Neodiprion lecontei: one gene and its partners. The protein of the gene in region 2 binds, or shares a complex with, the protein of the main gene of each other region. Links are inferred from orthologs where the notes say so. Each region holds a gene or a part of one and is shown on either strand. Other genes may lie near its edges.

Evidence for each region.
Region 1: eukaryotic translation initiation factor 3 subunit C (region 2) and eukaryotic translation initiation factor 3 subunit G share a complex: the UniProt entries of both Caenorhabditis elegans proteins name them as parts of the eukaryotic translation initiation factor 3 (eIF-3) complex. The link is inferred for Neodiprion lecontei from reciprocal best matches to the Caenorhabditis elegans genes eif-3.C and eif-3.G.
Region 3: eukaryotic translation initiation factor 3 subunit C (region 2) and eukaryotic translation initiation factor 3 subunit I share a complex: the UniProt entries of both Caenorhabditis elegans proteins name them as parts of the eukaryotic translation initiation factor 3 (eIF-3) complex. The link is inferred for Neodiprion lecontei from reciprocal best matches to the Caenorhabditis elegans genes eif-3.C and eif-3.I.
Region 4: eukaryotic translation initiation factor 3 subunit C (region 2) and eukaryotic translation initiation factor 3 subunit B share a complex: the UniProt entries of both Caenorhabditis elegans proteins name them as parts of the eukaryotic translation initiation factor 3 (eIF-3) complex. The link is inferred for Neodiprion lecontei from reciprocal best matches to the Caenorhabditis elegans genes eif-3.C and eif-3.B.

Annotation. Positions count from the first base shown.
Region 1 is NC_060263.1:36,423,329-36,430,221, forward strand, and holds eukaryotic translation initiation factor 3 subunit G, read right to left. Parts: upstream 3,817-6,893; 5' UTR 3,660-3,816; intron 2,954-3,659; 5' UTR 2,952-2,953; coding exon 2,504-2,951; intron 2,117-2,503; coding exon 1,701-2,116; 3' UTR 1,462-1,700; downstream 1-1,461. Other genes in the region: S-phase kinase-associated protein 2, read left to right, coding at 1-50, 182-528; calcium homeostasis endoplasmic reticulum protein, read left to right, coding at 4,211-4,229, 5,151-5,321, 6,009-6,681, 6,817-6,888. UniProt on the Caenorhabditis elegans protein: RNA-binding component of the eukaryotic translation initiation factor 3 (eIF-3) complex, which is involved in protein synthesis of a specialized repertoire of mRNAs and, together with other initiation factors, stimulates binding of mRNA and methionyl-tRNAi to the 40S ribosome.
Region 2 is NC_060261.1:25,907,766-25,914,577, reverse strand, and holds the start of eukaryotic translation initiation factor 3 subunit C, read left to right. Parts: upstream 1-2,792; 5' UTR 2,793-2,958; intron 2,959-3,158; exon of another isoform or gene 3,159-3,171; 5' UTR 3,172-3,184; coding exon 3,185-3,277; intron 3,278-3,415; coding exon 3,416-3,548; intron 3,549-3,623; coding exon 3,624-3,899; intron 3,900-4,027; coding exon 4,028-4,128; intron 4,129-5,825; coding exon 5,826-6,812. Other genes in the region: TBC1 domain family member whacked, read left to right, coding at 1-104, 210-479, 1,452-1,568. UniProt on the Caenorhabditis elegans protein: Component of the eukaryotic translation initiation factor 3 (eIF-3) complex, which is involved in protein synthesis of a specialized repertoire of mRNAs and, together with other initiation factors, stimulates binding of mRNA and methionyl-tRNAi to the 40S ribosome.
Region 3 is NC_060261.1:375,751-383,691, forward strand, and holds eukaryotic translation initiation factor 3 subunit I, read right to left. Parts: upstream 5,186-7,941; 5' UTR 4,791-5,185; coding exon 4,788-4,790; intron 4,512-4,787; coding exon 4,265-4,511; intron 3,797-4,264; coding exon 3,516-3,796; intron 3,431-3,515; coding exon 3,230-3,430; intron 2,037-3,229; coding exon 1,788-2,036; 3' UTR 1,737-1,787; downstream 1-1,736. Other genes in the region: poly [ADP-ribose] polymerase, read left to right, coding at 1-643, 6,044-6,250, 6,408-6,728, 7,452-7,683. UniProt on the Caenorhabditis elegans protein: Component of the eukaryotic translation initiation factor 3 (eIF-3) complex, which is involved in protein synthesis of a specialized repertoire of mRNAs and, together with other initiation factors, stimulates binding of mRNA and methionyl-tRNAi to the 40S ribosome.
Region 4 is NC_060266.1:1,378,997-1,388,444, reverse strand, and holds eukaryotic translation initiation factor 3 subunit B, read left to right. Parts: upstream 1-2,918; 5' UTR 2,919-2,977; coding exon 2,978-3,113; intron 3,114-3,552; coding exon 3,553-3,748; intron 3,749-3,897; coding exon 3,898-4,210; intron 4,211-4,292; coding exon 4,293-4,649; intron 4,650-4,802; coding exon 4,803-4,945; intron 4,946-5,074; coding exon 5,075-5,210; intron 5,211-5,309; coding exon 5,310-5,505; intron 5,506-5,705; coding exon 5,706-5,886; intron 5,887-6,165; coding exon 6,166-6,406; intron 6,407-6,544; coding exon 6,545-6,653; intron 6,654-6,758; coding exon 6,759-6,853; exon of another isoform or gene 6,854-7,048; intron 7,049-7,304; 3' UTR 7,305-7,986; downstream 7,987-9,448. Other genes in the region: multiple inositol polyphosphate phosphatase 1-like, read right to left, coding at 33-213. UniProt on the Caenorhabditis elegans protein: RNA-binding component of the eukaryotic translation initiation factor 3 (eIF-3) complex, which is involved in protein synthesis of a specialized repertoire of mRNAs and, together with other initiation factors, stimulates binding of mRNA and methionyl-tRNAi to the 40S ribosome.

The DNA of each region.
Region 1 (6,893 bases), on a different chromosome or scaffold from region 2:
CATTACCCGGCTGAATATTGCCGGATGTCGGAAAACCATGACAGATGATAGTAAGTATATAAATATATAAATATAAATATACATAATAATATAAATATGTATAATAATAGGCTATTAAATACTATGACCCTCGACGAAGTATTTAAAAGTTTGTTATTTATTTATTGACTTATTTTTGCAGATGTCAAAGAGTTGGTAAAATGCTGCCCGCGTATCATCGAACTCGATATGAGTGATTGTACAATGCTTACAATCAATGCCACCCAAAGTCTATTAAGCCTCACAAAGTTAGAACACTTAGCCCTAAGTCGCTGCTACAGTATTCCTCCTACCACTTATTTAAGACTAGCTCACATGCCCTGCCTAATGTACCTGGACGTCTTTGGATTAATGGCCGAACCTACTTTAGATACACTGCAAGCAAGTTGCGGAAATACTGAAATAAACAAGTTCCTATACAGTTCAGTCGCCAGACCGACAGTTGGTGTTAGGCGAACGAGTATTTGGGGTCTTAGAGTTAGAGATTAGGAAGCTAGAAGAATTGAAAAAAATCTCATTTAGTGATTTACGAAAAACCAGAGAATTCGACTAGTAGTAGGTATAGTTGATTACAAATCGCGTTTTGTCGCAGTAACTGAGAATAAATCGGACTTAATCTCTCGTAAATACGAGTAAACGATTTCTTGAAAACTGAAGTAATAATAATAAAGTAAAAAGTTCATTAAGGTATGTATTTCGAAAGTAGTGCCAGAAAGCGGTAATAGAATTGATTTTCATTTTTGTAAATAAATTCTCATACAAGACGATTAACACAATAACATAATAATAATAATAATAATAATAATAATAATGACAATAATGTTGTTAATGATCAGTCAATTATCTGCCAAATGTGCTTACTTGTTGAATATCAATTTTTTTTTTGTATAAAATCGCGAAATTCAGCACTGTAAAAAACCTGTAATACTTTGAAAGGTAATGATTATTTTTATAAATGATATTAGGAGAATTTTTCTTTCTTATTTTTATGTCACACAGTCCACACATTGTAATCTGCATAACGTGAATTAATGAATTTTACAATGCTTCTCCCGACATGAGTGATGTGAAGCGAGTTTGATTTCTTGTGATTTTTTTTTTTGGAAACCCATGATACTAGATGTAAGAATGTATGTATACTATTTTTAAGATGGATAGAAAGGAAAGTCCTTTGATACTAAAGATAATTCGGTATTTTCCTTTCTTGCATCAATATAGTACCGAATTTTCCTGGAAATCCGGGCTTACTGGATGATTATATTATTGACGACTATGTGAATTAATTATTATTATGTATATTCTATAAAAATGAATCATTATGGTTAATCTGAGTTCAATTCTCTTTTGCTTAGTTTTCAGCAATACCCAACTCACTTTAAAGTTATTTTGTTGCAAGTGTGTAACTATCAATAATCAGAGGAGTTATATTTTGGACAATTTATTAAAGAATCAAAGATACAACTGCAGAGATTGCAAAACAATACCTTGGTTACTGAAACGTGGAATCCGTTCATTCAATTTATATATATATATATAAACATTGAAATATTTGATTATAATTTATTACACAAGATACATATCAATAGGGTCTTAACGAATGATCAATTATTGCGTCAGAAGGATTTAATCTTGTAAAACGGAGTCACATGCGCAATTGACATCTAATTACTTTGTGTGGGGGGTTTGGACCAGTCCACATTTAAAATAAGGTGATCGTAACCATGTCCATGTAATTGAACAATAGCTTTAGCAGCATCAGCTCGGAATTTATAATGAACATAAGCAAATCCTTTACACGAATTAGTTAGCTTTTCCTTAGCAAGGTACAGTTTTTGAATTGGTCCAAAAGGCTTAACAAGCTCTTCCAAATCGGCGTCGGAAGTGCTTTCAGAGAGGTTGGAAATTCGGATCGCTGTTGTATCGTCACGCTTCGTCATCTGCATCGAATCTCCACGTCTATTACCGCCATCTCGCATATTGGGTGGTACGTATCTACTACCCTGAGGTTTATTTAGATCAGACATTGCTCCAGGTGCTCCTGGCACTCCAGCTGGTTTCTTATCATCTGGAACTTTACCTGGAGTAAAACATTTCAAGATTATCAGTAAATTAGAAAGATGGACTGAGAAAAGCTTAATTCTCTTTTGGTACCGAACACAATTACTGGTTGAAGGTAAAAATATTTTAACAATTGAATGGTCGGTTCATCTGAGGAATAATAAAATGTTCAAACTTTAAGGACGCAGTTCTAACATTTGGAAAAATGTTTCCTTTGAGACAAAAACTTCCTGTTACAGTATAAAATCTCTCAGTATTTCGTCTTACTTTTTCGAAATTTTACTAATACCTATAAATCTATTCTAATCGCAGAACTTGTATAGCGAGGGCTCCTGAATATTATAAAGTTTTTGGATGAGTGAATGCAAGAACTTCAAATAATGGGTAAATATCAGTATCAAGTTACCTCCAGCGAGTATAGTGTCTTTGTAAGGACACTTTGAAGTCCAGTGATCACCATTGCAGTTACGACACTTGACGACACCCTTGTCCCCGATACTCTTCAATTTGTCAAGTGAGTCTTCTTCGACCTTGTTCTCTTCTTCCTTATTTGAAATGAACTGCATGAAGACATCTTCTGCTCCGACAGTTGTGGCTGGATTTGGTCCAGGTCTGTCGTCCGAGGAGTCTCCAAACTTTGCCCAGTTTTTCCGCACGGCTATAGTCTTTGATACTATACGACGTTCCACCTTATATGTACGGACAACTTTTACTTTCTTATCGTCTTCGTTGTATTTGTATTCTGTAAGGATTTTGAATCCATTTTCATAGACCTCTGTCGGTGGTGGCAGTGCTCCTCCTTCTTCCTCAACTTCATCTGCCCAACTGGATTTAACTTCTTCTGTTACCGGCATGTCTGCAAGTTTGAAAAACACCTCTAATCTAGTAGATGGGTAAACAATAGTGTTGGGCCAAGTATATCAATCCTAACGTTTTTTCTACCTTTTACTAGTTGTTTCTCTTTAACGTTTCACATGTCTTTTAATTGTAACTTATCAAACTTTTCAGCCTCTAGAAGAATTCCAATTCAAGCGGAAGACTTTCGATTTTAAATTACTATCAATTTCCCTGTACAGGAACCTTCGATTGTTAAGAAACATTTGTTTACACCTGATTGATTAAGGAAGTGTAGATAGCGAACGGAATAATAGCGAGCAATTTACAAAGTAAACGATCTTCATAAATTTATAAATGTATATTTAGGATTTCAAAGAATGGTGGAGATCCAGAATATCTCTGCGTTTGAAAGGATAGTACGACTCAGGATGGAGCATTGAACTATTTGAGGTTAGGGTATCGCAACGTCTCGAGTATTGATACCCATCATTCCAATCAATTCATGAAAGTAGCGTCGATTAAATTTAGAAACGCGACACAATGATTTGGCAACTGGAAGACTCTTTAACCTGGTAAAATGATCGTAACATTGTAGAAGATACTGAAAATTGCATTTGAGTAGATCAACCTCACGTGTCATAAATTTTGGAATCTCAGCCGGCGTTGAGCACCTTAATGAAAAATGATATGGAATAGCAGATATTACTATTATATTACAAACTTACCTGTTCTCCGTGAGTAACGGTATCGGTGTAACGAAACGTAATACTTGGAAGATTTTAAAAGAACTTGACAACGCTTCGTCGTACATATGTCCGTCGGATAGACGATCAGCCAAAATGGAAGAAATGCCAGTGGCGTTGGGGGCGATCGCTGCTCCCTCTGTGCGTTACATCGAAAACTTTAGCGACGAATGTAGATGAATGGCTATAAGTTGTCTGTGGATCACGGTGAATGCAGCCAGCATCATGTCGAAATCGTATCTCTCTGATGTTCTGCAATAAGTTCTCAACTCTACCGTTGGAACATCTCAGAGGGCGCAAGCGCACGACGATTTTCGGTTGTCACACCAAAGTCCACTAGGGGGACTGTCTTTACATTCTTGAGTCACCGGCGAGGGAGACGAAGTGAAAAAAATGGCGATGTCTAGCGTTGTCGCTGTATCGTGAGCATAATGGTTTTCGGCACAACATTACAGTTGAAAATACGATAGAGTTTCATTATTAAGTGTGAATTATTCGTTACACGACGAGTCTCGAGTACCCACGAAGAAGAAATGGATCAGGCTCCTGCAGGTAGAGAAAAAAAATCACAATCCCAAGAATCAACGAAGCGCGGTATTATTTCCACACTACGTATCACGTATCAATTAATTTTTCGGCTTAATTTTTCGCCCATCAATACAATATTACTCTCCACCTTTACAACTTGACGAGTAAATACAAATCACTGCAGATTTCTCTCACCCTGTGCTACACAAACATATCGTTGTGTACAGGAATTGTATTAGGTTATGTGGCTCCTCTCACGTCCACCTTAAAATTGCCGAAATCGGCACCCCGATGAGAATTTGGAATTTTGATTTATTACTAAGTATGACTATCTACGAATCTTTTACAACACTCGGCGAAATATCGGTGATTATTTTTGTTTTCCACGTTCACATTCATTGTCCGTTCGCTGCTTTCTCTCCTACAATCACCCTTCAAGATATACAATCTGTTAATCAAACCTTAGGTATGGTTATGATTTTAACAGGGTAAATATTTGTATTCCATATTCATTTCACAACACGTAATCGACATCTAAATTGCGATCAAACAAGTCTGGAGAATCTTTTAAGTTATATCATAAACGATTTGTCTCAAGAGAAATATCTGATACTCTTCAATACCGCAATAACATTATATTGATATCCTTATCTTGATATCATATCTTGTTCTGCGATGGTTACATATTGTTTCCATTTATATTTTAAAGTTAATAAATAACAGGATAGCTATCTAAATGTTGGATTATTTTTTATATCAGAACTGTAACTAGGATATTGTACTTATATGTCATAATGATTTCTTGAATATTTTAGAAAATAATCTGTCTAGAAAATAATACCGGGTAAGATGATGATCCTTTTTTTCCATGAAATATGATGTAAGCTTACATTGTTGTTGGATGCCGATTGTTCTAACAAAGTTCTGTTTTAAATGATTTAATAGACACGGACTTGCGCAACATCATAGACAAGCTGGCTCAATTTGTCGCACGTAACGGACCAGAGTTTGAGCAGATGACGAAAAACAAGCAAAAGGATAACCCGAAGTTTGGTTTCCTGTTTGGCGGAGAGCACTTTAACTACTATCAATACAAAGTGACAACGGAGCAAGCCAGTAAGTGGGAACAAATCCCCTTAACAACGTACAAAAAAAGGTCTTCGTTCAATGAGCTAGAAGCAAACCCAAAAAAAAAAAAAACAAAAAAACGACTATGAGAAAACGTATGAAATCGTCAAATGAACAAAACATCACCACCGTGCAATGAGATGAAAAATGTCATTTGTGCAAATCAGGACATCGTTCAAGATTTTGGGAATCGTTATTTATTATAAGACTTGAAAAAAACTAGAAATGTGAAAGGGGCTTTCTTAAAATACAAATAAGAACAAGATGTAGCTTTAGGATTGTTATCTGATCCAAGATTAGATCGGCAAGGATACAAATGTTTAAAATACCAACTACTTTTATGTTTATGAAGAGTACTACACACTGCCGCAGTAAAATCTGTTTTACATACATGCTCCTGTACTCAACTGTTTGGTGTAGCACGATGAAAGAAAGAAAACAACACATTCTGTGTTCAGTGGCGCTTTAAATTTAACAGTAGACTTAATGCATTCTTACATGATGCCAGAAAAATTAATATGTGCCATTCGAAGATATTCATCCAAAAAACAACCGAATTAAAAATGACAAAAAAATAACAAAAAAAAAGTAAAAAACATGGACCATTAGTTTATTTTTTCAATATCATGAAGAAATGAAAACAAATTGCAATAATCCACCGTCATTCGTTTACAGTTTTAAAGCAAAAAGGAATAAATCCAATGCAAAATGCCGACCCACGTTTAAACGTTTCGCAGCAGCAGCAAACAGCCGCGGCCGTCGCTTCGCCACAAAATAACGTCAGTCTTGCCTCGAGCCTGAGCGCTCAAAACAACGGTTTAAGCCAAGTGGTCGGGAACCCAGGGCCCGTTATACCAGGGATAACTGGGGTACCCGGAGTATCCGGAGTTCCAGGACCAATCGGAGGGCCTGGAAATGTGGGACCACCTGTTGGGGCCATTCCTGGACCAATAAGGAACGTGAATTCGCCGATCGGAGGAGTTAATTCTGGTGTCAATATTGCCGGTCCTTCAGGTTGGTTGCGAAATGAACTTGCGCAGCTTCAGTCACAGCAAGCTACACTCCGAGAACAAGTTAGGCAATCTGAGCAAAACCTCGCTGCCCAACACGCCGCTTTAATGGCTCAACAACAAGGGAGAGTCGAGGAGGCTGTCAGACAAGCTCAAGAAGCATCGCTGCAAAATAATGCTCAGCATACAAACACTGACCTTTCTGCATTTGATTCTGTACTACAACCCATTATCGAGAGCTGCACTAAGGACAGCATCAGTGCCGGAAAGGCTTGGATACTACAGAATTCTATCACAGCACAAAGCAATCAAGTTATCGCTGAGCATTTGCTGAAAAAGTATGTATATCTGTTCATCACCATTTCTCGATGTGTTTAAAGTTATCAAAATTTCACATCAAAGCTTAGCCGGCAACAAAACCATATTAATTTTTTTTTTAATCGAATTATAGTAATTTCTGTAATAAATTTTAGAGTAATTCAAGGAGCAGCTTTCAGCCAGAAGTTACACGTGATTTACTTAGTAAACGATGTTCTTCATCATTGGTAAG
Region 2 (6,812 bases):
ATTTAGTGGGTTACTACAGTCAAGGCATGGAAACACTGCAGCGTGACGGAGACATTTTGTTTGCACTTCTAAAGAGGGTGTCTCCAGTTGCTTACAAACATTTGGTCAGTTAGATATTTGTTACACACATTAGATATAATCCTGGTTTTTCCGTTTTTCTGGTTGTAAACTGCGAAATTCTCATGGATGCTTGTCGCTTGTTATTACAGAAGAAACAGAAGATGGAGCCAATTTTGTACATGACTGAATGGTTTCTATGCGTTTATACGCGAACATTACCCTGGGAGAGCATTTTGCGTGTTTGGGACATGTTTCTTTGCGAAGGAGTAAAGATTATCTTCAAAGTTGGACTAGTTTTGCTCAAGGGTTGTCTGGGCCGCTCGACTCTCACCAAACACTGTCCAACCATGTATGAAACTCTTCAACAATTGAGGAATCCTCCTCACCAGCTCATGGAGGAGGAGATGCTCGTGAATCAGGTAACATTTTGACACTATTCCGCAGATTATGTCATTAAAGGCATGGCCACTTGAGCACTATCGATTAAAATCTTTGTAGAGACTCAGTGCTTTTTTGTTACCAAAATTCCGACTTTGTCACTCTAGCCATTTTGACAAATTCAATGGCGATGTTAGGTTGAAAAAAGCTAGCACCGTCACAAATAAAAAATGAAGATAAAAATAAAATAAAAATGGTATATTTAATTACTAATTAGTTGCTTAACCTTTAGGCTGCAGCTTGGCCAGTATACAGATCCGTTTCAGCAATTACGCGATCAGTATTTACTTCTAGAATTAGTTACTCTGTAAAACTACTGCGTGATTTTGTTACTTGCGTGCATTTGGCCGAAAACCATTACTAGTGTGATAAAAATACGGAACGAAAGATATTTCGCGTAATTTTGTATGTTTATCATACTAGGGGTGGCTTTCGGCCAACGTCAGGTGAGTTACGAACTCATGCCATCGATTTTGACAAAGCAACTAATTCTAAAAGTAAATACCGATCGCGATATTGCTCACATAAAGAATATTGTGTAATTTCATATTTTCACTACACCAGGGGTAGTTATCCAAGCTGGGAGTTGATAATTTCACATGTATTTCTTCGTGAAATTCAAGCAACTAAATAGTAGCTAAACATACCATTTTTATTTTATTTTCATTTTCATTTTTTACTCATGTTAATGCCAATTTTTTTCAACCTAGTATCGCCATCCATTCTGCTAAAACGACTGATGCAAGAAAGTCAAAATTTTGGCAAGAAATTAGCAATAAAAGAGCACTACATCTCTACATAGATTTTAATCGATTGTCCTGAAGTGGCAGTGTCACCTTTAGAGACACTCACAAATAGGGTAATGAAATGAGTTTCTTACAAGTAAAAATTCATTCGGAATGGAAAGAACACTTATTGTTAGTATATGATATCCATATTTCACTCCAATACAGATTCATAGACTGAAATTGAGTGAAGAAGACTTTGAATATGAGCACCAGAGGCAAGTGGTTCGTAGAAAATCGAAAGACCAAGCACCTCCGCAGCCTACGATGAACGGAACTGACTGATTGAAAAAAGAAAGCATGAAAATGGAATCAACAGCTATCAAGAAAAGCTCTTGAACATATTCCCTGAAATACGATGTGCCTTTTCCACAAGTATATCATATAGGTATGCATGTATATGTAATGCACAGAGTATGAAGTCTGTTCATCATAGTTAATTGAAATATTAATTCATATTATTATTATTATGTTATTAATTATTATTATGTTATTAATTATTATAATCTATGTTGAAGAATGAAAACACGGTGTTTTATGCACATTCCCGCAGTAGATAAATTACATACTTAGTACCTTTGTTCTATTCACATTGTTATTACGATTGTTGATAATACAAAACAAGCACAATATTTTTGTTATAGCTATATCATATTATTTAATATAAAAACAAAGTATTTTATTGTGCTGTATCATCATTATATTATTATTATTATTAAACTATATGCTCCATTGTCAATATTTATGTACAAAAAAATGCGAAACAAAACTTGTATACCGTACTGTATTTTTAAATGAATCGTATCTTATACGAATATATCACAATAAAAAAATTCGACTTATTAGTAACGAGTGAATAATCAATGCAACATTTTAGGACCCGAGATACTGAGTCGAAAATTCTTTGAGAATAAATTCACTCATGTCATCATCTCTACATATGTCGCGAGCACACTTTAGGTATGTATGTACTTGGTTGCAGAGACTTCACCATCGTCGAGTCGGTGTACAGTATTTACATAGTTTTTAGTAATCCTTATTCTATGTATTTCATACATGTAAATGTAACAATGTATGTTGGCGAAAGACCCACTGGGAAAAACCCAGTGGAAAAACCGCGTAACAATCGCCATTGCAACAGCTTGTTAAAAAATCCGCTAGGTGGTGTACACTGTCTGACAATTTGACATGATCCGAAATTTCAATGACGTATCCGCGTCTATGTATATCTATTTTATTACAGGTTACAATTGTCGACGCCAAGCTTATTTCGTTGCAATCACGGTCTTACATACAGGTCTGGCAACGAAGGTAGTGGGGGTGGTTGATTTCACGGCCGGTTATTTATCTCACTTTGTGGCCGCCAGGTCGGCGTTGTGATCGAGAGATGGATAATCAACGCGTGCGCAATGCATCGCCATCCTAATAATAATATTATTATTGGCACATTTTCATCCGTACCATCCCTACCCCACGTACATCCCGAGATAGCAGCGCTGCGACATGGCTATTTCAAACACTAAAAATCACGGACAAAAAGAGAACCACGCCGCTGCACGCCGCTCTGTAGAAAATTGAGCTTCGTTGCCAGACCTGTATGTAAGATCGTGGTTGCGATCGGCCTCTTTACATTGAACGGCTACCCGTAAGGGGATTTCTTTGCAGGCGATCACAGGTAAATTGATTAACGAGTTATTACGGTCTGTATAATAAAGAAAAGACTTCCTCTGTAGGATGATCAAATTTCTCCTAAATATTACGGCCCCCAATTGTGACTAGGACTTAAAATCAGGCCAAAGCAGTCTATTTTACTGTGCCATGTGTTTGACAACTCATTTGTAAGCCGTGCAAATCAGCAGTGATACATTTGTACAGTTTAATTTCACAGATTCAGTCTAATCATGAGCCGATTTTTCGCCACCGGATCGGACTCCGAGTCTGACAGCTCGTCTGAGGAGGAACAGATTCAGAGGCCCACAGGGGCAGTTTATACGGTATTTTTCAACCTTGCCTTAATCTAACCTTAAATCACGTTGAAGTTCGCTACCGTTATGTGACACAAACAGACTTCGATTGTCTGGTTTTGGTTATCACGCATTTCACCTTTGTAAACGAATAAATTTTCTTTACAGTTCAGTGATGATGAGGAAGAAACAAAGCGTGTTGTGCGCTCAACAAAAGAGAAGCGTTATGAGGAAATCACAAATCTGATTAAACTGATTAGAAATTACAAAAAAATCAAGGATATGAGCAGCATGCTCACAAGTAAGTATTAGTATTACGCGACCTTATGGTTCGGGATTGTATGGAATAAATTAACGCTGGTGTTGTGGGTTCTAGGTTTCGAACAGTTGACGCGAGCTTATGCAAAGGCACTGCCAGTTATTGCCAAGGAGGAAAATGGCCAGACGCCACATTTTTACTTACGATGTTTAGTCGAGTTGGAGAATTTTATTACTGATGTTTGGGAAGATCGTAAGAATATGTCTAAAAATAATTCCAAATCACTCACCTCTTTACGCCAGAAGATACGGAAATATATCAAGGACTTTGAGGAGGATATTACCAAGTTCAAAGAGAATCCTGACCAGGAAGATGAAGATGAGGAAGAAAAAGGTGCAGTTTCGATTATCAGAGTTGAATATTACAGTGTTAACGCAGAGAAATATGTAGATATAATTTAGTTACCTCAACTAAAGCAAGTTAATGTTACATATTATTAATTATTTAACATGATCACATAGCTGAAGAGGCTGAGGAGTCGGATGGAGAAGAAGATCGTGCCAACGCCTTCAAGAAAGCTAGTTCAGCAGAAGCAAATGCTCCTGATGTTTCGAAATTCAAGGTTTGAACGTGGTTACATTATTGTATTAATTGAGCTCGTTAGTTGGCCAAAATTGATACTTTTTATCAATTTTGTTATGAATTAGTCGTTCATTTAGCATTTATCAAATTTTCATTATATTTGTAGGGTTTGATCGTGGTCACGTTACCGCATTAATTAAGACCGTTGGTTGGTCGAAAATCAATACGTTACAATAATTTTATTATGAAATAGTCGTTCATTGAGTCTATCAAATCATTATATTTGTAAGCTACGAAGATTTCTTTAAAAATGGAATATACTTCAATTATGAACAAAAGCATAAGTATCCATGCTTTCTAAAAGGCATTGAAATGTTTAAAAATCTCGTAGATTCGTTTGATTTCATTCTAGAACCAATAATTTCATTTAGAAAACTATTGTCTGCAAAGTTACTGAAGTACTTTTTTTTTTTTGTTATCATGCTGGCATCATTAAATATTTAGTTACATAATATTGCACTAGTAGTATTCATCATCAACTAATGGCAATATTGAATTAACTAGTTAAAAAAAATTATCTGGCTTAGTAACAGTGTAGAAAATAATCTTCTGATTAAAATGTAACAATGTATTGTGAAATCGAAAAATTTACTAGAGTTCTACTTATTTAGAAGTAATTTGAAATAAAACAGCCATATCTAATCTTATGTTTAGAATTCCAGTATTTTCTATTCTGGCGTTTTGAAAGAGATCTTTGGAATATAACAATTTGATTAATACGCAATGTACGACGATCTTTAAGGGACATTACAGTGTGATCCTCCGAAATATCACTGATTTTCGCGATTTTTTTTTATGGTTAGGATAAACTAATCGGTTTGATTTTTTTTTGCACATCAAGGCAGTGATGAAGAATATAAAATGATTTTTTGTAAGTTGATTTATTTATTGTTTAATATTGTTTTAAATTATTGAAAAGTCCGATTCAAAAAAAAGGTCCTGCATGGTGTCCAGGATTGCGGTCTTAATCCTGATCTGAAACAAAAATTGCAAAAAGATTATTAATCTGTATGAAAGCCGCTATCGTGCTATGGACGCTTTTTTTTTTTTTAATTTGACAAAATGGCGGCGGTTTGAACAAAACGTATCGAATTCAGTTTTTTTTTTACGGTTTTTCGTAAAAAAAAATTGAAAGATTTAAAAAAAAAAAAACTTCCATAGCACGATAGAGAATGACGTAAAGAATGTTCTGTCAAAATTGCAAATGGATAGCTTGAAAACTCTTCCTTTGAGAGTGGACACCATTCCGAGAAAAACGCGTTTAAAGATTGAAGTTAGAAAATTGTAGATATATCGTTTAATTACGATCAATCGGCGATACCAGGTCCATACAATATTCCTTCTGCTTCCTTAAATTGTTCATTTCCTGCAGGAACGTACACGCGCAGGTAGGAACAAGACAAAAGGAATAACAGTTGAATGGGGAGACAAACGCAGCAGATGTCATATTCCCTTTCTCTAAGAAATGCTGTAGTGACTGAAATAATTCGAATTTCGTTAAAAAATTTGAGAGAATGTTTATAATAGTGTATACTATCCGATAGTGCAAAAAAAAAAAGATTTTTTGAAAATTTCACACTGATGATCCCTTAAATAAAATTGAAAAAAGGGTCGATTTTTTGCCTCACAACTACTTCAATGTCTTTTATTGTTTTCATGACTTTTTTCCGTTTGTAGAAAGGTCCAACGATCGACGGTGAGGAAGCCAGCGACAGCGACGAAGATTGGGGAAGTGATTCTGACAGTGATAGCACATCAAGCGATGACGATGGCCAGTACACAAACATTCGCGAAAGATTCATAAAGAAAACAACAGACAAAGATGATGACGAAGATAAGGCAAAGAAGAAAGAACAACGCAAAGAGCGCAAAGACAAGGAGAGAAAGAAGAGACGTGATGAAGACGACGGCGAGGGTGAATGGGAGACTGTTAAAGGAGGTGTGGCAATACCGTCAGAAAAGCCTAAAATGTTCGCCAAGGATGCTGAGATAAATGTGCAGGCCGTGTTGAAGAAACTAACTGAGGTGATAGCTGCACGCGGTAAAAAGCGAACAGACAGAAGAGAGCAGATCGAACTACTTCATGAGCTGCAGTCGATTGCTGAAACTCATAATCTCGGGCCAGCCGTCGCCGTCAAGATAAAGTTTTCTATAATCTCTTCAATATTTGATTATAACCCAAAAGTTTCCGATGCGATGAAACCTGAATACTGGTCAAAGCTTCTTGAGCGCATATCGGAGATGTTAGACATGCTTCTGAGCACTCCAGATATGGTAATCGCAGAAACAGTCTCTGAAGACTCAGAGGAATACGAAACACCGCCGTACAAGCTGCATGGTTGCGTGCTGACTCTGGTCGAGAGATTAGACGAGGAGTTCACCAAGCTGCTTAAAGAGTGCGATCCGCACAGCAACGAATACGTCGAGCGACTGAAGGACGAAAAACGCGTATCAACGATTATAGACAAGGTGCAGGAGTATCTGGAGAGGCAGAGCGTAGTATCAGAATTGTGTCGGATTTACCTTCGCAAGATCGAACATCTTTACTACAAGTTTGATCCGACTGTGCTGAAACAGAAGGATGGCGAAATTGCTTCCAATGTCGTAACGTCGGTCCAAGTTATGGAAAAATTGTGCAAATTTGTCTATGCAAAAGATGGTACA
Region 3 (7,941 bases), about 26 Mb from region 2:
AGACATTGACGTTCTTGATGTAGAAACAAATGAATACAAATTAATTGAACGATATGTAAAGAATACCCACGCATCAACTCATTCTCATTACGAGCTGGAGATAGATCAAGTATTCGTGGTAAAACGTAAAGGCGAGGACAAGCGTTACAAGCCATTTAAGAAGCTACCAAATAAAAAGCTCTTATGGCATGGATCGAGAACTACAAATTTCGTCGGTATACTGTCCCAGGGTTTGAGAATTGCGCCACCTGAAGCACCTGTCACCGGTTACATGTTTGGTAAAGGTATATACTTTGCTGATATGGTGTCAAAATCAGCCAACTATTGCTGCACTAACCGACAAAATCCGACTGGATTGTTGCTACTGTGCGAGGTAGCTCTGGGCAATACCTATGAGCGACACGCAGCGGATTACGTTGAAAAATTACCAAAAGGTAAACATTCTACATTGGGTCTGGGTCAGACTCAACCAGACCCAGACGATTTTCACATTACAAGTGATGGAGTTCAGGTGCCATACGGAAAGCCAGTACCAGCTAAGCTTTCAAAGTCAACTTCTCTTTTGTACAACGAATATATTGTATATGATGTGGCCCAAGTTCAAGTACAATATTTGGTCAAAACTAATTTCCGGTACAAACTATAAGCTGAAATACTTTCAATGTTACTTGCCAGCTACCCTACCTCAAACAAGTAGTTTGATATTTGCATACCACACAGACCATTTGAGGTCGCCAAACTTCCAAATAAGGCCTACCGATTTGATAATGAATTATGCGTAATAATAAGTTGTATTGTGTTTGTCAAGTCTACTCGTTTTTGTTTTTTATACTTTGAGCATAGGTATAAACTGAGTAAATCAGTCCAATCCTGATGCAAATGTTTTTCTCACTGATTACGCTACCGAGTATCAGTCAAGTTTAGGCCCAAGCTTCAACCAAAAGACTGGGCTACAATAAATTAAATTTCAAATACATCTACGTATACATAGAAGTGCTATTATCATGGGACACTCAACCTTGAAAAATATTGCCAAGTTTTTAGTTTGCTATGATAAATAAGTGAAGGGAATCCATTGTCGGCATTCAAATCAGGAACGATATTGAAATGTTATTGAGAGCAAAATAAATTAGGACTTCAGACCAAACCAGTGATATGAAAATTCATATTTGATTCTTGCGCTATATTTTCTTCATCTTTTTATTTTTGGCATATAGTTATACTTGGTATATATGATGGTTTCTACTTCTCATAGGTATGTATCCTTATTTGAGAATAGTGATAAATTCCGAAGTTACCTTCTGTCCAATATTTTTTATACAATAATCATCAGCCATATTTTCTACGAGACGATTTTTACTTTCAATAATAAATCATACTAACATAGATATTAAAACCGTATTTTATGTTGCAATTGTTGCCAATTTCATTTTCCACTTTACCATTGTATCCTTATTCCTTGAAATTTCACATAGGTATACAGATATGTGACATGCAAAATTAACGAATTTTAATCTGTCAGTGTATCAGATGCAAGCAAACGAAAAAAAAAATTCATGCAATATGACAATTTGGTACGTACAGAAAAATTAAGCAACATATCTGACACCGATAACTTGATACAGGCATTTCCTTGGAAACGTCTCACATCCTCCTTCATGGTTTTTATCTTTCCGAAAAATGATTCGAAATATTGAGGAAACATTACGCGGAATAAATGAAGAGCACGTGCTGTGTAAAATTTTTAGATTCGATATATATTAGTACAATGGTAGTACAATTATTGATTAATATTCAAAATGAAAATCGAAGTAAGATTGGTCAAATGTATTGATACGAATATATCCATCTTCTCCGCCTGTAGAATAACTCCGTCCATTAGGATGAAAGGCTAAAGAATTGATAGGGCCAAAATGGCCTTTGAGTCGAGCGAATTCTTCCTCAAATACCAAATGGAAAAATCGTGAATCAAATTTTCCATGACGAGCCGATGTCGTGGTCACGTCCATGGCATCCTGGCCACCACCCAGTACCACCTGAAAATGGATATAGGTACGATCTGTTACATTCGCATTTTACACAACCACACTACGTACGGATGTAATTTTACATGTCTTGCCGACAATTTCACATAAAAAGAATCAGTCAGTCATTTTTCTACAAATTTGCATATTTACAGGGAGTTTGCTTTTTCTGCCAACTCACTAAATACGAATTGTTATAACTTGATCAAGTCATTTGTAATGGATGTTTAGTGAGTAGTATATAATAAAAAAATTAACCACGCCTCCTAAATTTGGATATTACGTGAACGATTTTTTTTTCAGTTTGTAACCAAAGAGTTGCATTTTGAGTAGAAAATTGTCCAAGCTGCATGGCATCAAATTTCCAATCGTTTAATTTTAATAAAAATTTTATTTCATTCCCAAAATCGCTGACAAGTCAAACGACAAATCAGGAGTATATTCAATTGAACGACATTTAAAATTTGAATCTTACACACTAGTGAAGTCGATTCTGAACCTCCTGGTTTAAGCGGGTCAGAAATAGGGTTGGCTCTGGCAGCTTCTAACTAATTGCTACGGTTCATCCAACAGATACCGCATGTTATTTAATAGGCGTAAGTTGGGCACTAGAGCTGCCAACCTTATATTTGAGCTGCTAAAATTAGAGGGATTCCAAATCGACTTCACTGGGTGTACATAATATGTACATTTTTGCATTTTTTTGTAATATAACATAGGAATACTGTGCATACCTTAGTCCACACATAGAAGTGTACTAAAAGGCAGAATGTTCTGTAGTCAGTGTCAAGTTTTAGTAGGGCCAAAAAAATAAGATCACCAGTTAGTGCTACTTAGACATAAGGTATGCAATTTCTAAGTAGCTACGATCGGGACAACACTTTGCTAAGTATGCTCGCAACTGAAGCAAAAGTACTGCATCGATACAGAAGGAATTGAGGTATTATCACAATCTCATTTGTAAGTGGCTTGCACCACCTTATTTAATGTCACCTATGTTGTCGACACACTTGTCAACAATCGTAAACTATTCCCCTAAAGTTAGCAGAAAAAAAGGGAGTGCTCCGACCTTCTCTCAAGTGTCAGAATGGTAATATCGTTACTTTTCGGGTATTATAAAAAATGTTTAATCTTGTACAATATTCAGGAAAGTATTAAAATGCTGCTGCACCTGCTCAAGACATTATATAAAATTGCGTACTCACATGATCCAAAATTGGGGATATTGTTGCGGAATTGACCGGTCTCTCGGTTTTATAAGTTTTCAAGCACACCAGAGATTCGCTATCAAACAATTTGGCCGTATGATCCTTACATGCTGTCACAAACATGGTCCCATCCTTATTGGTTTGCATATCGTTGATCTGATTCTTGTGACTTTTAATAGAATTAAGTTTTTTCCCAGTCTGTGAATATATTACAAATAAAGTAAACTGAGGAATTGTAATTTAATTCAAGATTAATATTTGTGTCATGTGAATCACAACTCACCCTCATATCCCAGAGATTAATCTCACCATCTTCATGCCCAGTGATGATGGTTTCATCAAGAGCACCCCAAAGAATAGCAGAGATTCGGGGGCCGTTGATAGGTATTCGTCGTATGGCATTCTCTTGTGATGATTTGGAAACGACGTCTCGTGCATCGATAATGAACATTTCACATTGGTATCCCAAAGCTTTATCGGTTGAATAGACAGCAAGATTCCCGGAATAACTAAAGCTACATGTCCTCACCGAACTATTTGTTTCCAATTGACCAACAACTTTTCCTGAATCGAGAAAAATACAGAGAATCGTTGTTGCGTGAAATTCAACCTATCTCAAAATAGCATAAGTTTACATGTTTTAGATTAATTAAACCAATTTGCTCGACTTCATGTTGCCGGAATTAGTAGGTAAAACTAAGTCAGACAAAGAAATTGGAAAAATTTCACATTCATGTCTCAAATCATTGTATCAATTCAACAGATTATAAAGGATATTTGATTATATATTATTGATTTGTTCATGATGCTCGCAGTTATCACCTGCTAGGTTCAGTAACATCTTAAATTTGCAAGTGTATTAGTTTTCCAACAGACAGAGATCGACAAAATTATCGCAGCTCCTCTAGGATAAAATTCAAATACTTTCACTGGTTAGAATACTACAAATCCAGCAATGACCAGTTTCACATCACCTTCATCATATAGATATGGTACGAGTCTGTTGGAATAGAACGATAAGAGGTAACTAACCAGTCTGACAATCCCATACACATAAAGTATTGTCACCACTTCCAGATAAGAATCTAGTAGTATCCCAATTAACGTCGATGCACCATACAGAACCATTATGACCGTTGAAAGTTCCAAGGCGTTCTCCATTGAGGGAGTACCAGACATTAGGCTTCTTGTCCTTACTTGCAGAGAACAAGAGGTCACCCTCCCTGTTGTACTTGATCTTGGTAATGGCACGTTCATGCCCATGAAGCATGAGAGGTTTCTAAAACACAATGCAATCACAAACAATGGAATCCGAAGATTCGAAAAGACACATTCAATATAACCACGTCTGATATGAAACACACATCATTTCACAAGAAGCCTCCTCTAACGTTGACCGAAGATATATAGGTACTTGAATCGATATCTTGCAGTGTCAACTTGAGGTTAGGCACGGGAAGGCAAATTTTCACACGTGTTTATGTGTGTGCACGCGTAGGGGAGGTATGATCTGGCATAATGATAGAACAGATTTATTTTAAGAACAGAAACTTACCATTTTATCTAAACTAATATCGCATCAGCGCTCCAAAATTGCCACAAAATCGACTAGTGCACCAGCTGAACGTCTCACACGCGCCCTGGCCGAACGGCAGAAAGAGATGAGTAGAGCCACAAACCGTCAACGAAATGACCCAGCATTGGCTAGATATTGTAGAAGATGGCCGACCTCATTGGGTAGATGGAAACTCTTTCGTTATAAAAGTCCTCATATTGCTCAACTATTCTTGATGAATGCTGAAACCGTCGCAAAACTTCGTGCAGCTTGTGCCCTTAATTCGAAGCTGTGAACAATCTAATACGTTGACTTTATGGAGGGTAGAGGTAAGGAGGCCTATGGGTGTATTCCGAAATATACCCGCAGTACTGCAAGTACTGGCAACTGCATTCTGAAATCGCGCGACAGCTTACTGCCGCCAGTCAGTGACGTCATGAAATTTGTGACGTTGTTGACTGCGACTACTGCGGCCTGGGCACGGTCTTACATACAGGTCTTGCAACGAAGCCAATTTTTTACAGAGCGGCGTGGTTCTCTTGTTGTCCGTGTTTTAAGTGTTCGAAATAACCATGTCGCGGCGCTGTTATCTAGGGATGTACGTGGGGTAGGGATGAAAATGTGCCATGGAAATTATATTTGAAATGAAGCATATAACCTAAAATCAGCGCGTGCGTCATACTGTAATGATACTCTTTGCCTCTAGTCTCCATACATATATCATTCATAATAATTATATCACACTAATATTTATATTAACTACTTTCATTCATAACAATTCATTACTTGTAATAACAACAATAATAATATAATTATTAGGTTGGCGCTGCATTGCGCACGCGTTGATTATCCATCCCTCGATCACAACGCCGGCCTGGCGACCGCAAAGTGAGATAAATCAGCGCCCGTGAAATGAGCCACCCCCACTACCTTCGTTGCAAGACCTGTATTTAAGACCGTGATTTCGGAATACACCCCAGATTGATATCCTTCAAATGGTTTGTCGTCTGCGGATTATTCGGGCTTCAGCATAGCCACAAATATGAGAATGTTTCTTAAAATAAAGTTTATCTTGAGATTTACGTAAGGAGTCGTATAAGCGGATTATCAATCACTTTCTCATTTGTGAAATATTAAAAGATTCGTCGCGCGTGATCAAGTGTCTGTTGTAGTTTTGTCCTTTATGTAACATAAATATATGTATGCCCGTGTTCGATTACAATCCGGGCCCTAACCTATTCTCATGCATTGCATAGCATACTCGTGGTCACAGTGATTGTAAAACTAAATTGGAGAATATGCAGCGCGTTATTAAATGTCCGAAACGATATTTACCTTCGGTGAATGACATTTTTAAGTTGGCGTCAACTGTTGCGGGAAAATACGAGTCGGTACTGAGTAGACCTAATTTCAGACTAGTCCTGAATCGCGCCCTTCGAATCTCACAATGCCTGTCGTTTCAGGTAAGAAAATCATATAATATGCCCGACTTGTATTTTCCTAGTCTCATATCGATAGTTATGAGAAATAAATAGATCAAATTCAGTATTCAGCAATTCTTTTAAGATGCAATATTTGAGGATGTGGGAGAACGATGAAATGACTGTAATTATTTTTTAGGGTCAAATGCGTATGCGAATGCATAAGGAGGTATGCGCCATTTATACCGTGTTACGACGCAGCGGATTCGATAGTGATTCAAAACTACGCTGCTTTTATAATGCCAGATGCTTCTGTACCACAGGTACGAACAATAGCAATAAGGCGGCGAGTGGCGGCCGTGCTGGAGAGCCCTCATCTCAAAGCTCAGGAGATAATCCGAATAAAAATGACAATGAAAAAGTTTCTGGTCTTGTTCCCAAGTATTTAATGTGGCTTACATTTTTCTGGCTGATTGTCAGCTTGGTGACCATGCTAACACCGAATAATAGTCAACGGGAGGTGAGTGTATATGCAGATCCCATGGTTCAATTCTTGCCGAAACTACAGGGTGGTCCTGGAGTACAGTCTTATAAACTACCAACGTATTTCTCGTAGCAATCTGCAACTGAAACGTCTATTGCATTTCTATAAAAAATTTTCTATACGCGAATTACAGCTGTTTGAAATTGACCAATCTGGAAGCTTTTAATGACCCAGAACGGGACTGGTGGATCGTTATTTCATCACTACGCTGCGTAGTATCCCGGTTTATCATCCCTGTGTGTGGTAATCAATTCTGATGCTACCAAGTTGGTTGATCGAATGGCTTTTATTCGAAACCGAAGAATTTCTTAGCATTGCAACCCAATTTTTAGTTATCGATTTTAACAAGGAATACATTGTTGCTTGGCAGCCTATGGGACAATAGTCACGAACGACCCTGTTTATACAATGACAAGGTTTGTAGCATTAATGTAACAATGCACTCTTATGACAAAAATATAAATTTACGATTTTACATTTGTCTGGAATTTCGTGAAGCATAGTAAAGGAAAAAATACATATTTTGAAAACTCATGTCCTTCAAAGTCAATCTGAAGTTGGAAAACAGCTATTTTGTTCAGAATGTTTTATTATGTTAATGTTACCAGTCTGAACCTTGTCATTATACGAGATATGTAATGTATATGAAAATGCTAAATATGTAAAACCTGAAGCACATAACTTGAATAACTTGTCTAGCAGATTGTGTACGTGTCCTGGAATGATTTTCTCCATCACATGCTCTCCAAAGGTGAAGTGAAAGAGTTGATACTTCGACCTCAAATAGACATGGTAATTATAATCTTACACCCAGACGCTGTAATTAAAGGCCGTAAGATTGGAAACGTTACACACCTAATGACGGTAGGCGACTTAGATCGTTTCGAAGAAAAATTGAGAGCTGCTGAAGACAAACTGAACATAAGACAAGGTACTGTCAAGAATGTGACACCTGATCTACAAACTCGAGTTTTCACATCCCCTTAGGAATTTACAACCAGTTTATCAAAAATGTGTACTTGTATTGCGACAGGTAGAGCATTGGTTACTTGATCGTTTAGGAAATATATTGTGTCAGGATCATAACAGGGTTTGACTGCTTGGAGACTAGATTGAATTGTTGTTTGTATCCAAATATGAATCGTGGTGATTAAATGCTGTAGCGATCAGTTGATGTTGAAACTATGAA
Region 4 (9,448 bases), on a different chromosome or scaffold from region 2:
ATAATGGAGTAACATAAAGTAACGTAACTTACTTGGTATCGTTTCGTATGGTCTTTCACCGCCGTGAATAAAGTGGTAAGCAGTTTTCGTGCCCATATTCAAGTATGGATTATCATTGTGAGCGTAGCAATACTCAGCTTTCAGAGTTAAAACGTGACTAGCTGATAGCATCGTGGCGATTAGAATAAGAAACGATTTTTTTACTTGTAGCATTTGATCGCGGATAGACTTGAAGTGTGTCAGAAAAGAAAATGCTTAGAAGAATATGAAAAAATTAAAAAATCGTTAAACCGCGCTGAAATATTTGTCACGAAAATTTTTCTCATACTGTGAGAGATCCTTCCGCGCAACCGATCGTTGTCACTATAGACTCTAAAAATTTTGTCTCGAACGGACAGTTTTAAATTCTATCTATTTTCAGTGCGTTTATTTTTCAACTCAAATATTTATTCATGAATTAAATACACCCGAGTTGATTCGATTTAAACTCAAAACCCGGTAATCATATGACACAAGTAGCATATGTGTGCTATTTACAAAGTACCAAACATTTAACTGCCTTATGGAAATGCAATTTGTAATGTCTTTCTGCACGTATTAACAGGTCATACTGGAACTTAACTGGGCTGCTATTGCGTCACTATATCAACTTTTAGTTATTTTTTTGCCTATGAGATCGTTTTTAGTCATGTTCTTTTGGATTTTGTCACTTTTACTTTTTTACCCTTAGATTTTAGAAAACATTATCAGAGTTTAGAATTAATCTAACTGAACACTGGAACTGAAGAAACTCCTTTCCTAAGATTTTTTTTTATTGCCAGTTTTTGCTCTATTGTTGCGTATGCAAATAACAATTTCATAAGGTAAAAATGAAAATTTACAAAGATTAGAAAATAGAAGGCTTGCAATAGCGAATTTTCAAATTCGCAAAAATCTGTTTTCGAATGTAGACTATATTTTGAGTTATCTGCATTCTAGCCTTCTGAATTTTGAAATTCTGTAAGATAGATTTTCGCGGATTTGAAAATTTTTGATTACAGACTCAGACAAATAATGTAGTTCATAAAATTCTATTTATTTTATCGGAACTATCCTTTTCGATTTTTCTGTAAAGTTTCGATGCAGACACGTTTAATAGGTATACAATTATTTCACCCTTAAATAAATTTTTACAGATGTTTGGCGAAAACTTGGAAGATCGACCACTTGGACTTCCACTTTGACTCACTGGAAATTATGGATCATGTCCCGCAGAGGAGAGCATCCCAAATGAATATTGACTTTGTGACTGTACCCCCGTTTGTACCAGGCAACCAAATACTCCTTTTTTAACCCGCGACATATCCATGTCAACATTGTCCTCGAGTCCATGCCGTTCACTTACACTTGGTAACTCTGGACCATGGATGTATTTTGACACTTCTACAAGATGTTCCTGATTGTTATGATTGTTAGCCACGACTCTTCTCTTGGACATCGTTGATACACCTGGAATTACGAAAGTTTCACTGTCATTAACATCAGATATGCAGTTAATTGTTTCTGGTTCTTCTAAGTCCAAGTTTTATGTTCATGAGCCAAACATTTCCGTTGAACCGCAAACACGTTGAAAACTGTTTGGGGTTGAAAAGTATCGTTGTTTTCAGATTTATTAGTGGATCAGCAAACTAATCGCAAACAATGTATCGTTGATTGAAAGTTCTTTTCTGGGTATATCTACTTCGTCCAAGAATCCCGACATCGTCGCCTTTACGCTGGAACTCAATCGGCTGCCGCTCAACGAACGGAACTGAAGTAACAAACTAACCAATCTTTTTTTTTCGAACAACTCTACGAAATATTTAAGAATCTCCTTGGCGCTACTTTGTAATTGGCTGGGAATAATTCTGGAAAATTATTTCTCAAATGTTTACCGAGTAGATTCATATCTTCTACTCCCCGTCTGTATCAATACGAAATAAAAATTATTTCATTCTTATCACGACAATGATTCGATTTTCGGTACATAACTTGACAAGTTAAAAAAGTTGAGGCAATCAAAAGAAGAAACGATTCTTTCACGGTGTATATTTTACTGCGAATAGGTTTAAAAAACATGGGCAGACAGTGTAGAGAATATTTTGAACTGTGTAATAAATGTAGAAATATTTGTAAATGAAATTAGTTAGCTATTGTACGGAAATGTTTTCGGCAACTGTTGGAATGCGATACACTGAACAATTACGTTTTTTATGTATAGATAATATACTCTCACACTTGACACTTTTCACATCACCAATCACGTGCAGTCGCTAAAGTGATGTATTCAAAATTCCATAGTCCGAAGACACATTTTCCGATAATACAAGGTCCTCTAGTTTAACTTCTTCGTTAGAATGTGTTATATGTATTAAATTGTCGCATTTACAACTGTGAAATGATTTTCTGCCTTTTTTCACAATAATTCGACAGATCCGTTCCTATTTCTATCCTTATTTCAATTGACTATTCACACTATTCACAATGCTTGAAATCCATAAAAATTGAGTGTACAATTAAAACGTTTCCCCGTGCAATGAAAAATAAAGAAAACATACTACTTAATTGAATGAATTAAGGGTAAATTTTCCGGCGATGTAATAAATTCAATGAATTATTTCAAAGTAGAATTTTTTGTGACGAATGTACAGAAAGTCAAATAAACTCCGCTTTAGCATTGTAACTGATAAGACAGAAAATTATGTTAAATATCAACGTTGATGTGGATCACAAAATGTAATAGAAATTGCCTATCTACAGGCTGGTTGATTCTATTGGGTGGATAAAGCAGACGACTCGAAGGTGTTAGCAAAAGCATCGAGTTGAATCGCTTCATTCGATATATCGCATGTGCGCAGTTGAGTTGCGATAGATCGAATCAGTCAGACGGAAGCGTTGATATACGTCTTCTGCGGCCACTTTCAGACGCTTCAGTTTGCTTTAGTAAGAGGTTTCCAAGATGGCAAAGAAACGGGAGGCGGATAAAACGCCGCATAACGATGATCCAGGTAAAAACGACGATGAGAATATCAACGGGGATAACGAGCCAAACTTCAGCGATCCCGAGGGATTCGTCGACGATGTAACCGACGAAGGTATTTCTACTCTTACATTTCACATGCGCGTCACTCGTGTCATCCCTATCACCCCTCGGGGCTCGGTCACGGCATGGCATAGGTAGCATGGCGTGGCACGAAAGTTATCACATATGCACACCGTCTCCTAAATCTAACCATCCCGTCTCGGGATCTCGACAATCTTCCGTACAGTCTCAATAGCTTTTTCAATTTATTCGCCGGTTTTAGCATTTTAACCTCCGAACTTTGGCGTGATATTTTTCCTTTATACGTGACACGGTTCAACTCTGTACTTGAGCGTCAATTAACCTTCCAAATTTTGTATTGGCACCCATTCAAGATACCATTTTGCATTCATAACAGTCTCTGAATATTACTCGACACCAATCTCCGATTCGCCTTTTAATTCTAAATCGGGTCTGCTATATTTCTATTAATCTTTTATTCCTTTTCCTAGAACTACTTGGCGAGCTCATTAGGCAGAAACCGTCTGAGACCGATGGGGTTGAAGCTGTCATTGTCGTCGACGGTGTTCCGCAAGTTGGACCCGAGCGTTTAGAAAAACTCCAAATGGTGATCAGCAAGCTGTTTGAAAAGTTTGGAGACATTGTCAACCAGTGGTATCCCAAGAACGAAGATGGCTTGACCAAAGGGTAAAGATCATAAGACCATAAATTTTAATTCAACAATGCTAACCTAGCAGAAAAACAGAAACAACTTGTCACTTGTTTTGTAATTATTAGTACGAAGCTTCAATTTTTCACTACTTTGGTTGTTTTGTTAATTAACACTGGTATCACAGGTACATATTCTTGGAATACAAAAGTCCGGTGAACGCATTAGCTGCTGTCAAGTCGACAAACAATTACAAGCTCGACAAGATGCACACATTTAAGGTGAATTTGTTCACGGATTTCAAAAAGTTTGAGGATACACCGGATGAGTGGGAACCGCCAAAGCCCCAGCCGTATACATCGAGTGGTGACCTTCACTACTATCTCCTTGATCCTGATGCGTACGACCAATTCTGCGTTCTCTCTGGCAATGGAATGGCGGTTTGTGTTCAGATATGGCAAAATTCTGCACCTGAACCGACGCTGCTGGAAGACCGACCGGTAACAGTTTTTCACAGTTTGACTAGATTAATGTGCAAGTCGAAATAAACATGGTGTATTCCCCTTTTCTAAACCTTTTCAGCGATGGACAGATACATACGTCAAGTGGTCTCCATTGGGCACGTACATAGCTACTTTCCACAAGCCAGGAGTCGCGTTGTGGGGTGGTCCGAAGTTCGAGCAGACGGCAAAGTTTGGTCAACGCGGAGTTGAGTGCGTTGACTTTTCACCTTGCGAACGTTATCTTGTCTCATATTCACCCAGGGCTGAGAGCAGCGTTGATCAGAAGCGGCTTGTTGTCTGGGATATTCTCTCCGGTCAAGAAAAACGGGATTTTAATCCTGACGGGTCCTCGGTGTGGCCCATTTTCCGCTGGTCACACGACGACAAATATCTCGCTCGCATGGGCGAAGATGTACTCAGCATCTACGAAACTCCTGTAAGTTTTTTTTCTACTATTTTTTTTTTTTTTTTTTATCCTTTTGCATACCAATGTTAGATTTTTTTTCATCAGATGGTCAATTTTGTTTCGTGCGGATGTTCAACTATGGTCTATTCGCTTTTAAGCATTTGCATTTATTCGATTTTTTAGTCATTTCGACTACTCAACAAAAAGAGCATCAAGATACCAGGAATCAGAGACTTCAGCTGGTCGCCCACTGATAATGTTCTAGCCTACTGGGTGCCGGAAGATAAAGATGTCCCAGCCAGAGTCACACTTTTGGAAATTCCCAGGTACAGCACAGAGTTCATAGTCAGAATTGAAATGCTGCTTCCATTTGTTGGTTAACAACCAAAGAACTTATGTTTTGTTCCTATACCGATTCGCGGAGTTCATGAGTGTTTCTCTTTTTCCCGTTACAGCCGCAACGAAATTCGTAACAAAAATCTATTCAATGTCGCCGACTGTAAAATTCACTGGCAAAAATGTGGTGACTACCTCTGTGTCAAGGTGGATCGTTTTGCGAAGAGGAAAGAAAAAACTGAACAAAAATACACTGTAAGTATCGCAAGTAGTAAAAGCTCGTTCAACTCCTCCCAGTTGCCTAAATTATAGTATAGCATCGGTATTTAATTTCTCCATTTGATTTATTTTCAGGGAATGTCGTACAACTTTGAGATATTCCACATGCGAGAGAAGCAGATACCGGTTGATAGCGTTGAAATGAAGGAACCGATTCACGCATTCGCCTGGGAACCAGTGGGTAGCAAATTCGCTATCATTCACGGTGAAATACCCAGCGTAAACGTCAGCTTCTATGGAGTACGCCCTGGACTGCATCCTGATCTTCTCAGTAAGCTTTTCAATCCAGTTTCAATATTTCAGAAAAGTAATTATATCCAACTAAATAAGACGAAAAAGTGTGTTGTACATCTCTGAAGATATGTATATCAGTTCATAGAACAAACATGTGTTCTTCAGTCTTGTAATGACTTTTACTGATGTCTTAGAATTAAAAGGCAAAGTTTTTAATTTTTTCTAACTCTTGTTTAGAGAAACTCGAGAAGAAGGCGTGCAATCACCTGTTCTGGTCTCCTGCTGGCCAGTTCATTGTACTTGCTGGTCTTACCACCATGGCTGGTGCCTTGGAGTTTATTGATACCAACGATTTTACTATAATGAACACCACTGATCACTACCAGACCTCTGACGTTGAGTGGGATCCTACCGGACGGTATTTAGCTTCGTTTATTCTTTATCATTCTTTTTATTTATTCTCTCGTTATGTATTTAATGCGGGCTTCGTTTTCGTTACATGTTATTTAGTAGAATTCTTATTATTATTATTATTCGTATCACTGTTAAATCAAAGATCTTTTACTGATTGTGAAGTTTACTTCAATCTCTTTACTTTGGCAAAATTTAGTTTTAAAGTAAGCTTAGAAATGAAGCATAGAACTAAAAGGACGTGACTAAATGACCCCAATCAAAAATGAAATACGGCTGCTTTTAGATACGTTGTGACTGGAGTGTCGAGCTGGAAGACAAGCGTCGACAACGGATATTGGATTTGGTCGTTCCAAGGTCGTATTTTGAAGAGAGTTAATTTGACTGCGTTCAATCAGCTTCTATGGCGTCCAAGGCCAGCGACGCTTTTGACCGCCAAGCAAATCAAGGAAATTCAAAAAAATCTGAAGAAGTATTCGGCACAATTCGAAAGCAAAGATCGCATGAGACTAACTCGCGCCTCGAAGGTAATATTTTCCTATTCCGATACGGAATATTTGTGATCAAATAGTGACTTTACATTTATTCGTATAGTTCTTTTTTTCTATTGTGACATTTAAAAACTACCCATATCCTTGAAATGATTTCTACCTTTCTTTTTCCAGGAATTGATCGAAAAGCGTTGTACACTGATGAAAGAATTCGAAGAATATCGATCAAAACGTATCGAAGAATGGAACAGCCAAAAGAAGCGTCGCCTTGAACTACGCAACAGTATGTATTACCGTAGTCAAAAGTAAAGATGGAAAATAATTTATATTGATCTGCTAGTATTTTCCTATATTGAATGACGTATTAATTTCGTGTTTTTCCTTCTAGATATCGACACGGATGAGCTGGACTCAGATACGAAGAATGTTGAGGAGGAATCGATCGAGTTTTTCATCAAAGAAGAGACATTCGTCATCGACTAAGAAAGTATCCTAAGAATTGAAATAATTTGGTCTTGCCAGACTTGGAAACCTCTGTGTAAGACCGTTAAATTGTTGGATTTCATGGTGTATTGTACCTACTAACTCTGGAACGGAGGTGAACCACGCTGCAAGTGGCATCATTTCCATTATAAAGCATCATTGATGGTCTTTAACTATTATAGCAATTGCGTAGAATTTGTATTTTATTATTTCTGTATCATCGTGTCATTTTTCCTCGATGATTTTACACCACGTAAAGAACGCGGCAAACGTAGTACAATCAAATTCTATCACATACCTTATAGAATAGTCTGTAATACTTGTAACTGCTACAATGATTGTCACACTGTCCATTTTTTTTAAGTCACACAGACTATTTTTATTTATCTAATAATACCCTTTCGGAAAGCCATTTGAAATCGAACATTGTTTTATGAATACTTTTCTATAGAGTATCGTCGAAGACGAAGTAAGGGAATCATCACGACGAGGAATCTGTGACTGCGTCAAAACTGAAACCCCATTCCTTTCCTCACAGCTCACACTTGCGAATCAGCGGAATTGCCTTCGGAAGGTAGGTTTAGTTTATTTATTTATAGTAGGTTAATTATATTTAAAAAAGACTGGTTTTTGTGCAGATGCTCTTGCCGGCAGTTTGGTTGTTGAAAAAATACGCGTCATGCATTTAATCTGGGGTTTTTATATTTCATCAATTGTTGGTTTTCCACTGTGTATAGAATTCTGCAGATGATTTTTCAAAACAGAAATCATATATTTGTTCTTTTTCTTCTTGGCATAATATCCATTCTGTTCAAATTATTATCAACTTTACTATTATAACAAGCATCGGTTGCTATTATATGGAACGGGAATCTTCGAAAAGCAATAACATACAGAAAGAGTCATAAAGACGAAAATGTGTAAAGTTATGTTCTTACTATATATCTACATATATGCTAACGAATGTATTAATTATTATGCATAATGTATAGTTTGGAGGTACATAAGTTGAGAAAAAGGTCTTGATTTTAAAGTTTATGTATTATATATTATGTTATAGCTCAATGATCCTTAGATCTCTATGTATTATACAATCATAAGAATAATGATGAAAATAAAAAAGGAAAATAATAGCCTTCTAGTGTATTTGCTTAGTCCAAAGGGAAGCGCCTAATTATAGGCAACCAAACTTACATGTACGCGACACGGCCATCAGGCGTAAGGCGTGCCTTCGATCAGGCTCCTCGGCTCAGATGTTCTCCTAATACCAGGAGTAATTTTTCGCTGCTATTTCTCCGATCTAATTGAACCAAGTGGGAGCGCCTAATCATAGGCAACCAGAACGGTACGTATGTGACACGGGCTTTCAAGCATAAGGCGCGCCTTCGATCAAGCTCCTCGGCTCAGATGTTCTCCTGATACCAGGAGTAATTTTTGGCTGCAATTTCTCCGAGTTGCTTAGTCCAAGTGGTAGCGCCTAATCATTGGCAACCACGTTTATACGTATGCGACACGGGCTTTCAGGAATAAGGCGTGCCTTTGATCAAGCTCCTCGGCTGAGATGTTCTCCTAATACCAGGAGTAATTTTTCGCTGCAATTTCTCCGAGTTGCTTAGTCCAAGTGGTAGCGCCTAATCATAGGCAACCACGCTTATACGTATGCGACACGGGCTTTCAGGAATAAGGCGTGCCTTTGATCAAGCTCCTCGGCTCAGATGTTCTCCTAATACCAGGAGTAATTTTTCGCTGCAATTTCTCCGTGTTGCTCAGTTCAAGTGGAAGCGCCTAATCATAGGCAACCACGCTTATACGTATGCGACACGGGCTTTCAGGAATAAGGCGTGCCTTTGATCGAGCTCCTCGGCTCAGATGTTCTCCTAATACCAGGAGTGATTTTTCGCTGCAATTTCTCCGAGTTGCTTAGTCCAAGTGGAAATTAATTTTTATGCATAAGAAATGAGAGAGTATATTTTGAGCTAAAATTTATTTCATTTTTACTATACATATATTATATGTATAATAGGGTGTTTCAAAATAAAAAAATTTACGATTTTCCAACGAGCCACACCCGAAATAGTTTAGGTAGAAACAAAAATTCTGGCGAAAGATGAGCATTGTCGGTTGATTTTTAATCCTTTTTTCCTTTTTATCGAATTTATGATGGACAATTGTTAGTAATTTTTTTTCGTGTTAAACACTTCTTCATCTGAGCTATCCATAATGAGTAATCAAAAAGTAGTGGCAAATATGCATGATTATTTATTGTGTGCCCATGACGACTGAGACAAATCGTGGTCATCAGATAATTGATAAATATCTCTTTTTCGTAGAAACAGTATCGGCGGGTGGTCACGCGACTATAGTGGGCGCATCTCACGGTAACTGCGCCGCGGTCCGCCGCGGTGCAGTGGGTTTCAGCCTTAACTTTTGAAATGTCCTACCATTTCCGAACACCTGCAACCATCCTATTTACCTATATTACTAGATTAGCTATTATATGAAAAGAGAAGAATTATTCACTTCGAAATGGGATTCTATTCGACGCGCGCTCGATGTATTCCATAACATTAGTATTCCTAATTATTTCAACAACAT